2 linked regions of the Macaca fascicularis genome follow. The protein of the gene in region 2 interacts with the protein of the main gene of each other region in a pairwise test. Links are inferred from orthologs where the notes say so. Each region holds a gene or a part of one and is shown on either strand. Other genes may lie near its edges.

Evidence for each region. The genes of interacting proteins can lie anywhere in the genome.
Region 1: the proteins of TSC22D4 (region 2) and ZMYND10 interact in binary tests that used the Homo sapiens proteins (3 or more experiments, as listed by UniProt). The two-hybrid records come from large-scale screens. The link is inferred for Macaca fascicularis from reciprocal best matches to the Homo sapiens genes TSC22D4 and ZMYND10.

What each region holds. Positions count from the first base shown.
Region 1 is NC_088376.1:113,376,898-113,383,055, reverse strand, and holds the start of ZMYND10 (zinc finger MYND domain-containing protein 10), read left to right. Parts: upstream 1-1,736; 5' UTR 1,737-1,878; coding exon 1,879-1,970; intron 1,971-2,231; coding exon 2,232-2,340; intron 2,341-3,603; coding exon 3,604-3,720; intron 3,721-3,837; coding exon 3,838-3,891; intron 3,892-4,009; coding exon 4,010-4,147; intron 4,148-4,247; coding exon 4,248-4,336; intron 4,337-4,435; coding exon 4,436-4,536; intron 4,537-4,887; coding exon 4,888-5,060; intron 5,061-5,177; coding exon of another isoform or gene 5,178-5,195; exon of another isoform or gene 5,196-5,316; coding exon 5,317-5,442; intron 5,443-5,524; coding exon 5,525-5,646; intron 5,647-5,757; coding exon 5,758-5,883; intron 5,884-5,971; coding exon 5,972-6,047; 3' UTR 6,048-6,158. UniProt on the Homo sapiens protein: Plays a role in axonemal structure organization and motility. Involved in axonemal pre-assembly of inner and outer dynein arms (IDA and ODA, respectively) for proper axoneme building for cilia motility.
Region 2 is NC_088377.1:49,047,705-49,053,862, forward strand, and holds the end of TSC22D4 (TSC22 domain family protein 4), read right to left. Parts: intron 2,693-6,158; coding exon of another isoform or gene 2,599-2,692; coding exon 2,550-2,598; intron 2,168-2,549; coding exon 1,958-2,167; 3' UTR 1,522-1,957; downstream 1-1,521.

The DNA of each region.
Region 1 (6,158 bases), on a different chromosome or scaffold from region 2:
CAGGAGACTCAATCTCAAAAAAAGGAACAGATGTGATCAAGAGTGAGTTGGGAGGTCGAGGCAGGTGGATCACGAGGTCAGGAGTTCAAGACCAGCCTGGCCAAGGTGGTGAAACCCTGTCTCTACTAAAAATACAAAAAACCGCGTGTGTGGTGGGTGCCTGTAATCCCAGCTACTTGGGAGGCTGAGGCAGAGAATGGCTTGAACCCAGGAGGTGAAAGTTGCAGTGAGTGAGACCACACCACTGCACTCCAGCCTGGGTGACAGACTGAGACTCTCAAAAAAAAAAAAAAAAAAAAAAAAGGGGGTTGGAGGCAGGGACTGCTCTGGATTAAACGGCCAAGAAAGGCCATACTGAGATGTAAACTGAGCCCTGAAGGAAGAGTATTCCAGGCAAAGTGCAAAACCCTGAGGCAAAACCTCTTTGGAATGTATGAGGTAGGTCCAGGGAAGAAAGGAGGAGAGGAAAGAATCCAAGTCCCGAGGTACAAGACAGGCAAGAAGTAGGTCTTGCAGAGCTGCTGGTAAGCAGCACCCGACCTAGCATTTTGAGGGCCAGAGGTAGTTGCAGAGCCCCTCTCATGTGAGGGAATGATGCCTATACACTTTTTTTTTTTTTTTTTTTTTTTTTTTGAGACAGAGTCTCCCTTTGTTGTCCAAGCTGGAGTGCAGTGGTGGAATCTTGCCTCACTGCAAACTCCGCCTCCTGTGCTCAAGCGATTCTCCTGCCTCAGTCTCCCGAGTAGCTGGGACAACTGGTGTGTGCTACCACACCTGTCTAATTTTTGTACTTTTTTTTTTTTTTTGAGACGGAGTCTCGCTCTGTGGCCCAGGCTGGAGTGCAGTGGCCTGATCTCAGCTCACTGCAAGCTCCGCCTCCCGGGTTTACGCCATTCTCCTGCCTCAGCCTCCCAAGTAGCTGGGACTACAGGCGCCCGCCACCTCGCCCGGCTAGTTTTTTGTATTTTTTAGTAAAGACGGGGTTTCACCGTGTTAGCCAGGATGGTCTCGATCTCCTGACCTCGTGATCCGCCCGTCTCGGCCTCCCAAAGTGCTGGGATTACAGGCTTGAGCCATCGCGCCCGGCCTAATTTTTGTACTTTTAATAGAGACAGGGTTTCACCATGTTGCCCAGGCTGGTCTCAAACTCCTGACCTTAAGTGATCTGCCCGCCTCGGCCTCCCAAAGTGTTGAGATTACAGGCGTGAGCCACCGCGCCCGGCGTGATACACACTTTTAAGGCTCCGGGGCTGTCCGTGAGGATCAAGCGTGGAAGTAAGTCTACAGAAAAGGCTGCCGCAGTTAACCCACGACAGGTGATGACAGTCTGGACATAGGGAGGATGGAGAGAAGTCGTGCGCCCTGGCAGTATTTCAGGAGCCAACTAATGGAGCCGGGACGCGAGAAACAGAGGAATCAGGAAGCCATAAGGAGGAGGTGGAGCAGCGGGTGGGTCAAGATGCCGCAGCAGCAGCAGGAGGAGCTCGTGGGGTCGGGGTTACCCCCATCCCCGTGCAAGCCGACTTGGCGTCCGAGGGCAGAGTCCAGACCACAAGGAACTGGAGCTCAGGAGAGACTCGTGGTCCACATCGCGAGAAAGCTGTGGGAATCCAAATACTGTGGCGATTGGCAGCCCCGTAGGCGAGGCGGGCTGGAGACCCGCCCGGATTTAGGCGCGAGCCACCTCCAGGGGCGGAGCCCAAGCCGCACTGCGCAGGCGCGGCTAACCCGTTTCCATGGCTGCGAGAACTCACGCTCCCCAACCGTCCCACAACTGTCCTGTCCCAGACTTTGGCACCGTCGGGGTCCGTCGTCCCCGAGTGTGTCAGCATCCCCACCCCGGCTGCTGCCCAGGATCCGCCGGACCCCGGCCTCGATATGGGAGACCTGGAACTGCTGCTGCCCGGGGAAGCTGAAGTGCTGGTGCGGGGTCTGCGCAGCTTCCCGCTACGCGAGATGGGCTCCGAAGGGTGAGGCACCCGGGTCAGGCGGAGTCACGGAGTCATTGTCCCTGAGTGGGGGAGCTGGAGCCTGACATGGGGGGAGGGGCTGCCCAGTGTGGAGGGGCTCCCAAATGGGGGAGCAGAGTGTTCCGAGACAGGAATATAATTGTTCCTGAGCCCCCTGTGTCCCCTCAGGATCAGGTTAGGCTTCAATAGGATCCAGCCCCCATCCCCACTCCAAATGCACACACGTGGACCCACATGCACTTACACAACCCTCTGAGGCAGGTGGAACCAGCAGCACGAGAACCTGGAGAAGCTGAACATGCAAGCCATCCTCGATGCCACAATCAGCCAGGGCGAGCCCATTCAGGAGCTGCTGGTCACCCATGGGAAGGTACCCCGAGGTCACAGGCAGGGTTCCTGCCTTCCCCCATACCTCACCTACTCTAACCCTCAGGAGTCCCCTGTGTGCTTTTCCCCTCTGGCCTGGTACACCTGTCCTCCCTGAAGGGGAGAGAGGAATGTGTTACATGTTTCATTTTGTGTCGCTGTTGGACAGGACTCTGGCACACCAGGCTAGGTACAGGGCATGAGTTGATTAGGGAGAAAGCTGTAGGTCCTAAAACAGCTTAGGCTTCGAGGGGAAGGCCCAAATGCTAAAGGCATCTGTGAATTGACTGTAAGGCTGGGGAGGGGGTGGGGAGGGCAGGAGGGAGGGGAGATAACTTAACTGGAAGTAGAACTTTGGCATGGAAGGAGGCAGCCTTCCTAACATGAGAGGGGAAAGTTAGAAACCAATGAGATGGCTGGCTGGAACATGGACCAGGGAGTGTCACCAGCAGATGACCTGAGATATCAATTGACCAAAAAAAAAAAAAAAAAAAAAAAAGCCAGGCATGGTGGCTCATGCCTGTAATCCTAGCACTTTGAGAGGCCAAGACGGGTGGATCACCTGGGGTCAGGAGTGCAAGGCCAGCCTGACCAACATGGTGAAACCCTGCCTCTACTAAAAATACAAAAATTTGCTGAGCATGGTGGTGCACACCTGTAATCCCAGCTACTCGGGAGGCTGAGGCAGGAGAATCGCTTGAACCTAGGAGACAGAGGTTACAGAGAGCCGAGATCGTGCCACTGCACTCCAGCCTTGGTGACAAGAGTGAAACTCTGTCTAAAAAAAAAAAAAGAGTTCCTTTGCAAGAGAAAGGTGGAACTCATACAAGGGGATAGGATAAGAAGAACAGGGCACTGTGAAGGGTCCTGAGTAAGAGTGAGGCCAAAGGCACACAAGAGCCTTAGAGAACCACAGGACAGGGACAAGAGGGAGGGCATGAGCAGAAGGGCTGACTTGAAAGGGACGCCTGAATGGGCGGGGAGAGGATAACGGGGCAGGTGCAGGCAGGGCAAGGCAGTCTGGGAACTGGGCAGGAGCCAGTCACATAAGCATGAGGGACATCCACAGAGGTGTTGGGAGCAGCTGGAAACGAAGGTCCGAAATGCAAGAGAAAAGTCAGGAAGGATAGCCATGGGGTTTGGGATAGTTTAGGGGCCCAGCAGTGTTTGGGGAGATCTGGGCTGAGCTGAGCCAAGCTGGGGATGGGAGGGTTGCCAGGCAAAGGTAGGCCCATCTCATCCCTGTCCTTTACCCCATCCTTCAAAGGTCCCAACACTGGTGGAGGAGTTGATCGCAGTGGAGATGTGGAAGCAGAAGGTGTTCCCCGTGCTCTGCAGGGTGGAGGACTTCAAGCCCCAGAACACCTTTCCCATCTACATGGTGGTGAGCTGGGCCCCTGGTTCATACCTCCTCCCACTCCTTCAGAGGGCTCTGGACTGGGGAGGGGAGCTGGTAGCCCCTATCCCTACCACAGGCCCTGTCCCTCTCTTTGTCTGTCAGGTGCACCACGAGGCCTCCATCATCAACCTCTTGGAGACAGTGTTCTTCCACAAGGTGAGGGACTATCTCTGCCCATGGGCCACAGTTTCAGGTCAGGGCCTGGCAGGAAGGGAGGTTGTATCTGTGTGGGGAGGGCATCAGACACAGAAAGTTTCCCTCCCCCTTTCCCCAGGAGGTGTGTGAGTCAGCAGAAGACACTGTCTTGGACTTGGTAGACTATTGCCACCGCAAACTGATTCTGCTGGTGGCCCGGAGTGGCTGTGGTGGCCCCCCTGAAGGGGAGGGGTCCCAGGACAGCAACCCCATGCAGGTGGGTTGAGGTTACCTAGGATTGTGAAAGCCTAGGTCTGGGTTCCCCAAGGCCTGCACAGGCAAGGGTAGCCCAGCATGAACACTGTGTGACCTCGCAGGAGCTGCAGAAGCAGGCAGAGCTGATGGAATTTGAGATTGCACTGAAGGCCCTCTCAGTACTGCGCTACATCACAGACTGTGTGGACAGGTGGGCAGTCCGACTGGGCCTGGGCCTACCGTGGAGGGCTGGAAGACTGGGCCTGTAGCCTGCCTCTGCTCACCTCCTTCACAACGTCCCTGCCCCTAGCCTCTCTCTCAGCACCTTGAGCCGTATGCTTAGCACACACAACCTGCCCTGCCTCCTGGTGGAACTGCTGGAGCATAGTCCCTGGAACCGGCGGGAAGGAGGTAGGGTCCTCCCACACCAGCCTAAGCCCCAGGCTACTGCTTCAGGATATCTTTTTGATAGAGGGGGCAGTTTGCACACACGAAGACAAACCCCGTCCCCAAGCCCATCTGAGGATACCAGGATGCCTCAGCCAAGAGTGGCCTAGACCTGAGCTCTGCAGCAGGCCAGGCCCATGTGTCCACTACTGAGGCTCACTCTGCTCTGGGGTCAGCAGCATTATAGCCTGGGCAAGTCCTGTGGCCCAGGTTCTCCCACCATTCCCAGGCAGTGGTCAGTCTCCCAGGCCCCACAGCTGGCTCACTTGAAGAGAATGCAATGCCTGTACCCAGTGTGCTGGTTCCTCTCCCCAGGCAAGCTGCAGCAGTTCGAGGGCAGCCGTTGGCATACTGTGGCCCCCTCAGAGCAGCAAAAGCTGAGCAAGTTGGACGGGCAAGTGTGGATAGCCCTGTACAACCTGCTGCTAAGCCCTGAGGCCCAGGCGCGCTACTGCCTCACAAGTTTTGCCAAGGGACAGCTACTCAAGGTCGGACTCCCTCTGCACCAGCCCCCACAGCCCCAGCACCGCCCTCCCCATCCTACCCTGACCCTGTCCCTGCTGTTTATCTTTGCCCACCCACCTCAACCCCCGTGCTCTTTTCAGTCCTTGGGCCTCAGGTGACACACCAGCTAGTGGGACATGGACCCCCACAGGCATGCTCAGCCCAACCCAGCCCCTTCCTTTTCCGTGGCCCCCTGGCCAGCACCTGCATCACACTGGCCTCCACTGGACACTCTTGCAGCTTCGGGCCTTCCTCACAGACACACTACTGGACCAGCTGCCCAACCTGGCCCACTTGCAGAGTTTCCTGGCCCATCTGGCCCTGACTGAAACCCAGCCCCCTAAGAAGGACCTGGTGTTGGAACAGGTAGACACTGGAAAGTTAGCTCCTCAGGACCACTGTCCTACTTTACCAGCACCTTCCTGCCACTCTCCACTCCTTTCCCTAGATCCCAGAAATCTGGGAGCGGCTGGAGCGAGAAAACAGAGGCAAGTGGCAGGCAATTGCCAAGCACCAGCTCCAACATGTGTTCAGCCCCTCACAGCAGGACCTGCGGCTGCAGGCACAAAGGTAAGTCCTGTGGAACTGGCAGGAGGAGTGGATGGGATGCAGGAGGCATGGATGTGGGCAGGGATGCCCCCACCTTCCAAGGCCAGTCAGACCTTCCTGACTTTCCCCCAGGTGGGCTGAGACCTACAGGCTGGACGTGCTAGAGGCAGTGGCTCCAGAGCGGCCCCGCTGTGCTTACTGCAGTGCAGAGGCTTCTAAGCGCTGCTCGCGATGCCAGAATGAGTGGTATTGCTGCAGGTGAGGGTATCCTAGGACCTTGGACCCCTAAGTCCTACTGCCACATCCCCCACATGCACTGCCCTCCTCAACACCCACCTGCCTGCAGGGAGTGCCAAGTCAAGCACTGGGAAAAGCATGGAAAGACTTGTGTCCTGGCAGCCCAGGGTGACAGAGCCAAATGAGGGTTGCAGTTGCTGAGGGCCAACCACCTATGCCAAGGGAATCCACCCAGAATGCACCCCTGAACCTCAAGATCACGGTCCAGCCTCTGCCGGAGCCCCAGTCTCCGCAGT
Region 2 (6,158 bases):
AGAGCGAGACTCCGTCTCAAAAAAAAAAAAAAAAAAAGGAAGGAAGGAAGGAAGAAAGGAAGAAAAAAAAGGGGACCAGGTGTGGTAGCTCACACCTGTAATCCCAGAACTTTGGGACGCCAAGGTGGGAGGATTACTTGAAGCCAGCAGCTTGAGATCAGCCTGGGCAATATAGCGAGATGGTCTCTACCAAAAAATTTAGGCCGGGCACGGTGTCTCATGCCTGTAATCCCAGCACTTTGGGAGGCTGAGGTAGGCGGATTACTTGAGTTCAGGAGTTTGAGACCATCCTGGCCAACATGGTGAAACCCTGTCTCTACTAAAAATTAAAAAAAAAAAAAAAAAAAAAAATTAGCCGGGAGTGGTGGTGCGCACATGTAGTTCCAGCTACTCAGGAGGCTGAGGCATGGAAATCGCTTGAACCTGGGAGGTGGAGATTGCAGTGAGCTGAGATCTCACCACTGCACTCCAGCCTGGGTGACAAGAGCGAAACTCCGTCTCTAGCTGGGCATAGTGCCACATGCCTGTAGTCCCAGCTACTTAGGAGACTGAAGTGGGAGGATCACTTGAGCCCAGGAGTGGAAGACAACAGTGATCTATGATAACACCACTGCACTCCAGCCTGGGCAACATAGCAAGGCCCCATCTCTACAAAAATAAAGACAATTAGCTGAACGTGGTGGCACACACCTATAGTTCAGGGAGGCCAAGGCAGGAGGATCACTTGAGCCAGGGACGTGGAGGCTGCAGGGAGCTGTGTTTGTGCCGCTGCATTCCGGGCATCAGAGCAAGACCCTGTCTCAAAAAAAGAAAGAAGAAACGAAGAAAAAAAAAAGAAAAACCAAAGAAGTTGCCCAAGGTTATGAACCTAGGGAAACCTAAGGAGGCAGAGAGTCACGGACTCCAAGGCAGGTCAGCCTCCTTGGAGGCTGCTGGGGCTAGGGGCCTCCTGGGGCTACATCCGCAACTCTCACCTCTTCCCCGCTAGATGGGGTCCTTCTCCATCACTGCTGACTCTTCCGCCTGGGACTGGAGCCCAGGCTGCCAGGGAGGGGCCATCTCACCCACAGGGCCCGTCCTCAGCTGGCCGGGGGTGGGAGCCACGGCGGCCGGCCAGGCCTGGCAAGGGCACCGTGTGCCCAGGGAGTCTGGCCCACACCCAGCCCAGAGACAAGGGGCCCATTCAGGGCCCCCCGCCCCGCCCCCAAGCAGCCACCCGGATCCAGCCCGCAGAGGGGACACACTGGGAAGCTGGGGGTGGATCTTGGGCAGCCACCAAAGACCTCATTGTTTCCTGGTCCCCCCGCCCAGCACGTGGGCAGACGCCCCCCCACCCCCAATCCTCGCCTGCCCCTTCCCAGGACCCGAACCGCTGGCTCCCTTCTCCAGTCTCTGTCTCAACCCCTCCATCTCCCACGCTTTAAACCTCCCCAGTCTGCAAAAGATCTCAGGGAAGCCCCAAATGGCAGGCGCAACCCCTGAGTCTGAACACAAGCAACGAACGAGATGTCAACCTCCAAATTCAAGTTTCTTCAGAATTTTTAATTATTATTATTTTAATAACAACCTGAATCCCAGAACTTCCAGATACTGTCCACACTCCCTCCCCTAGGCAGAGGAGAGGATGCACCTCAAGGGAACAAGGTGGGGGTGGGGTGTCTGCCAGGGAGCCTCCAACTCCCCCAGGCCGTCGACTGCTGGGGGTCCCATGAGGGAGGGTGGAGGTTGGTTCCCTCCCAGAGGGGGCTCCCTCTGATGCCCCGTCCTGAAGTCCTCCCTCCTCCATCAAGGCTGGGGATGATGAGGAGATGGGGCAGGGGCCGGGGGACCAGGCCGTTACTGAGCCTTGAACTCCCACCCTGGGGACATGGGGACATTAAAGCTGCATAGGAAGAGGGGGCAGGCGGCTGACAAAAGGCCGGGCAGCCCCAAAGGCACATTGTAAGGGAAGGGAGGCTCAGACGGAGGGCCCATTGGGCGCGGAGGGCCCAAGCCGTGGGACCCCCGAGGAGGGCAGCTGAGCCAGCTGCTCCGGGCTGGCCAGGGCGCGCAGCAGCCCGTTCTCCTGCTCCAGCGCAGCGTTCCGCTCTGCCAGTTCCCGGATCTGCTCCTTCAGTACCTCCACCTCCTCCCGGACCGCAAACATGAGGTGGGACTTCACCAAATCCTGGGGGCCCCGGGGACAGGCACAGTGTCAACGGAGTGGGTGCCTCATCCCCTGCCCAGTGCCTCAAGGGCCGGGATGGGAGAGAGTCCCGTGTCCAGAGGATGAGAGACAAAGCAGGGAAGGGACAGGGGAAAAGGACGAGGGACAGAGGCAGAGTCAGAGCTCAAAGACAGAGATGGGGACCAGCAGCCAGACCAGAGGCCGGGCAAAGTCAAGGGTGCAGGTGGCGGTAGGAGGGGGCAGAGGATGCCCAGGAGCCCAGCAGGGAGAGGGATGGAGGAACTGGGAGTTGGTGTTCCCTGGTAAGGAAGAAGACAGGGCTGGGGCGGAGGGATGGCTTAAGGGGGCCGGGACCTCCTGGGACCAAGATGGCTTCTCTTACCATGGCTTGCTCGATTTTGTTGTCAATGCCAACCAGGCTTCCGGAGCCACTGGAGAGACACAGGAAGGTGAGGGGAGGAGAGGAGGAGCCTTCCCAGGTGCTGGTTTCTTGGACCACAGCCTCCCGCCCACACCCCCCTATACCTGTGACAGTAGAGAATGAGGGAGAGGAGGGTTTTGTCCATCCCCCTGCGGGCTGAGGGCCGCTGCCCAGGGCCTCCCAGGCCCCGGTGGGGCGGGGGCCCAGATGTCCCTCGTATGGGGGACGCACCCCGGGGAGAGCAAGGGGAAGAGGCACAGCCCCTTTTTCGGGGCGGCCCCGGAGCCATCCCCACCACTCGGGTCTCATAAGATGACACCAGGGACTTGACAGAGATCCCTGGCTGGGCCATGCCCAAGGGGAAAGGGTCCTTAGACGCCCCCCCAACGGAGAAGGATGCAGTGAAGGGAATGCCTGGGGGGCTCAGAGCCCCCCGGGCAGAGCGGGGTCTGGCTGGTGCCAGGCGGGCAGAGAGGAGACAGTGCCTCGGGGGTGCTGGCCTGAAAGATATACACCACCCCCCCCAAGGGCAAGGCCTGGCTGCTATTGGCTCCTTGGGGACACGGGGACCCCCCCTCCCCTCGGCTCCTCGGTGGGCGGGAATTCCCAGACACGGTCAGTGCCAGTGTCCCCTTCTCACCCTGGCACCAATCCCAGAGTGGAGGGGAGGGGGCCGGCCGAGGAAGTCAGCTGGTGGCTGGGCCAGGGGAGGGGCGTGGGGCAGAAGCCTGGGTCTGAGAGGGGAGTAAAGGGTGTGAAGGGAGACGAAGGGCCTGGCCCTCGGAGGCCCCTCCCCACCTCTGACCCCATCCTGTCCCCTCTGTCCCTCAAGGCCTTGGGAAAGAGGGTGGAGGTGGCTGGGGTAGGGGGCGTTCTGACGTACTCGTGGTCTTCCATAGATCATGAGTGCTCTACTACCAAAAAACCCCACAAGGCTCACATCATGGGTGACCCCGGGACCTGGCCAGAGGGTCCCTGACTTTCCAGAGAAGACCAAAAATGGGAAAGGTTACCACGGCAACAGAAACTGAGCCCAGAGCCCTAGAAGACGAATACAGCCTAAAGGCCAGGTGCGGTGGCTCACACCTGTAATCCCAGCACTTTGGGAGGCTGAGGTGGGTGGATCATTTGAGGTCAGGAGTTCGAGACCAGCCTGGCTAACACGGTGAAACCCCATCTCTACTGAAAATACAAAAATTAGCCAGGCATGGTGGAGGGTGCCAGTAATCCCAGCTACTCAGGAGGCTGAGGCAGGAGAATTGCTTGAACCGGGAGGTAGAGGTTGCAGTGAGCTAAGATCGTGCTACTACACTCCAGCCTGGAAGACAGAGTGAGATCCTGTCTCAAAAAAAAAAAAAAAAAGGGACAGGCATGGTGGCACATGCCCGTAATCCCAGCACTTTGGGAGGCTGAGGCAGGCGGATCTCCTGAGGTCAGAAGTTCAAGACCAGCCTGGCCAACATGGTGAAACCCTGGCTCTACTAGAAGTACAAAAAATTAGCCAGGCGTGGTGGCAGGTGCCTGTAATCCCAGCTACTCAGGAGGCTGAGGCAGGAGAATCGCTTGAACCTGGGAGGTGGAGACTGCAGTGAGCCGAGATCAGGCCACTGCACTCCAGCCGGGGCAACAAGAGCAAAACTCTGTCTTAAAAAAAAAATACCGCCGGATCACGAGGTCAGGAGATCGAGACCATCCTGGCTAACACGGTGAAACCCCGTCTCTACTAAAAAATACAAAAAACTAGCCGGGCGAGGTGGTGGGCGCCTGTAGTCCCAGCTACTCAGGAGGCTGAGGCAGGAGAATGGCGTGAACCCGGGAGGCGGAGCTTGCAGTGAGCTGAGATCTGGCCACTGCACTCCAGCCTGGGCGACAGAGCCAGACTCCGTCTCAAAAAAAAAAAAAAAAAAAACCGCCTATGGGCCTGGGACCTGGGTCTGGGGTCTCAGAGGAAGCGAGGGCTCAGAGGAGAGGAAGGGAAGTGAGCTTGGAGATGGGACATTGGGAAGAGGAGCAACAGGGCTTGGAAGAGAGGTGGGAGTCCCAGGTGACAGGGTCTGGCTGCAGTCTGGGAAGTGGCCACCAGAGGGCGACTCAGGCCTGGCTCAACAGCCCCCAGGGCCAGGCTCCAGGCTGGCTCCAAGACGCTGGGCTCTTGGTCCCAGAACCTGGCTCTCCCTCAAGCCCCACTCTCACCGCCCAGGACCTGCACAGGCTCTTGTGCCGACCTCATCCTCCAAGGCTCCCTCTCCCACCACTCTGGCCCCAGGCTCTTGCCCTGAGGCTCCAGACCTACCCTTGTACCCCTGCACTCTGGTGCTGTGGTGGGATCCCCAGTCCTGCCCTCCAGCCCCCAGCTGGGCCCCGCTCGGAGCAGGGGCCTCAAGGGGCTGCAGGCCACATCCCTGGGCTCCCTTGTAAGCTCTCCCTCCTGGCTGTCAGCTCAGACTCGCTTCCCCGCAGGGGGATCAGCACTCAATTCAAGGTGACCCTTGGATGAGGTCCTGCAGCCAGGAAGGGAGCACAGGGAGCTGGGAATTTTCCATTTCTCATCCAAGCTCTGGGTGCAGAACGCGCTGACAGGTAGAGCAACTGAGGTGACCAGGCCTGAGTGAGCAGGATGGGGTGGGTGGGGGAAGGGAATCTGGGACTCCTGGGGCAGTGGGAGAGGAGAAGTTGAAGGCGGGGTGGTGGGTCTGCCAGCAGGAGGGTCAAAGTAATTTTTGAGCTATTTCAATCAGCAACACCTGAGTGGATATGGAGCCACCACAGAAAACCCAATACCCCCCCTCCACCACATTACACAGACTCACAGAGACCAAAGCGGGTGGATACCTAGGGATAGGAACATGGGCCCTGCTTGGCGGAGACTCAGGGGTAAAGATGTCAAGTAAGGTGTTCGTTCTCGCCAGAGATAAAGGAATAATACAACAATAAACGTTTGTTGGCCAATAGGTGACTGTCTTCTGTTTGTCTAGCGCCTGAGAGTTTCTGACAGCACTTTCCACTGGGGCTTTTTTTTTTTTTTTAAGACTAAGTCTTGCTCTTGTCGCCCAGGCTGGAGTACAATGGCGCGATTTCGGCTCACTGGAACCTCCACCTCCCGGGTTCAAGCGATTATCCTGCCTCAGCCTCCAGAGTAGCTGAGATTACAAGCATGCGCCACCACGCCCAGCTAATTTTTGTATTTTTAGTAGAGATGGGGTTTCACCATGTTGGCCAGGCTGGTCGCCAACTCCTGACCTCGTGATCCGCCCGCCTCAACCTCCCAAAATGCTGGGATTACAGGTGTGAGCCACCGCGCCCAGCCTCCATTGGAACATTCTAACACACACTTCAAGGGACCAGGACTCTGGCAACGCAGGCCTTCCCCTTTAGGACCCCAGAGTGAGGGGTTGTGGGCACTGTGCTAGAATTCTTTGACAGGGTCCAGGGGAGGAAAGTAGTGGCTGCTGAGACAGGACCTACCTCCACCACAAGCCCAAAAGCAAGTTTGTGTGGATTAGAAAATGCCCCTTTCTTCAAGACCCTTAATGCCACCTTCCGGAAAACTGTCGTGACTTCCAGCATTGA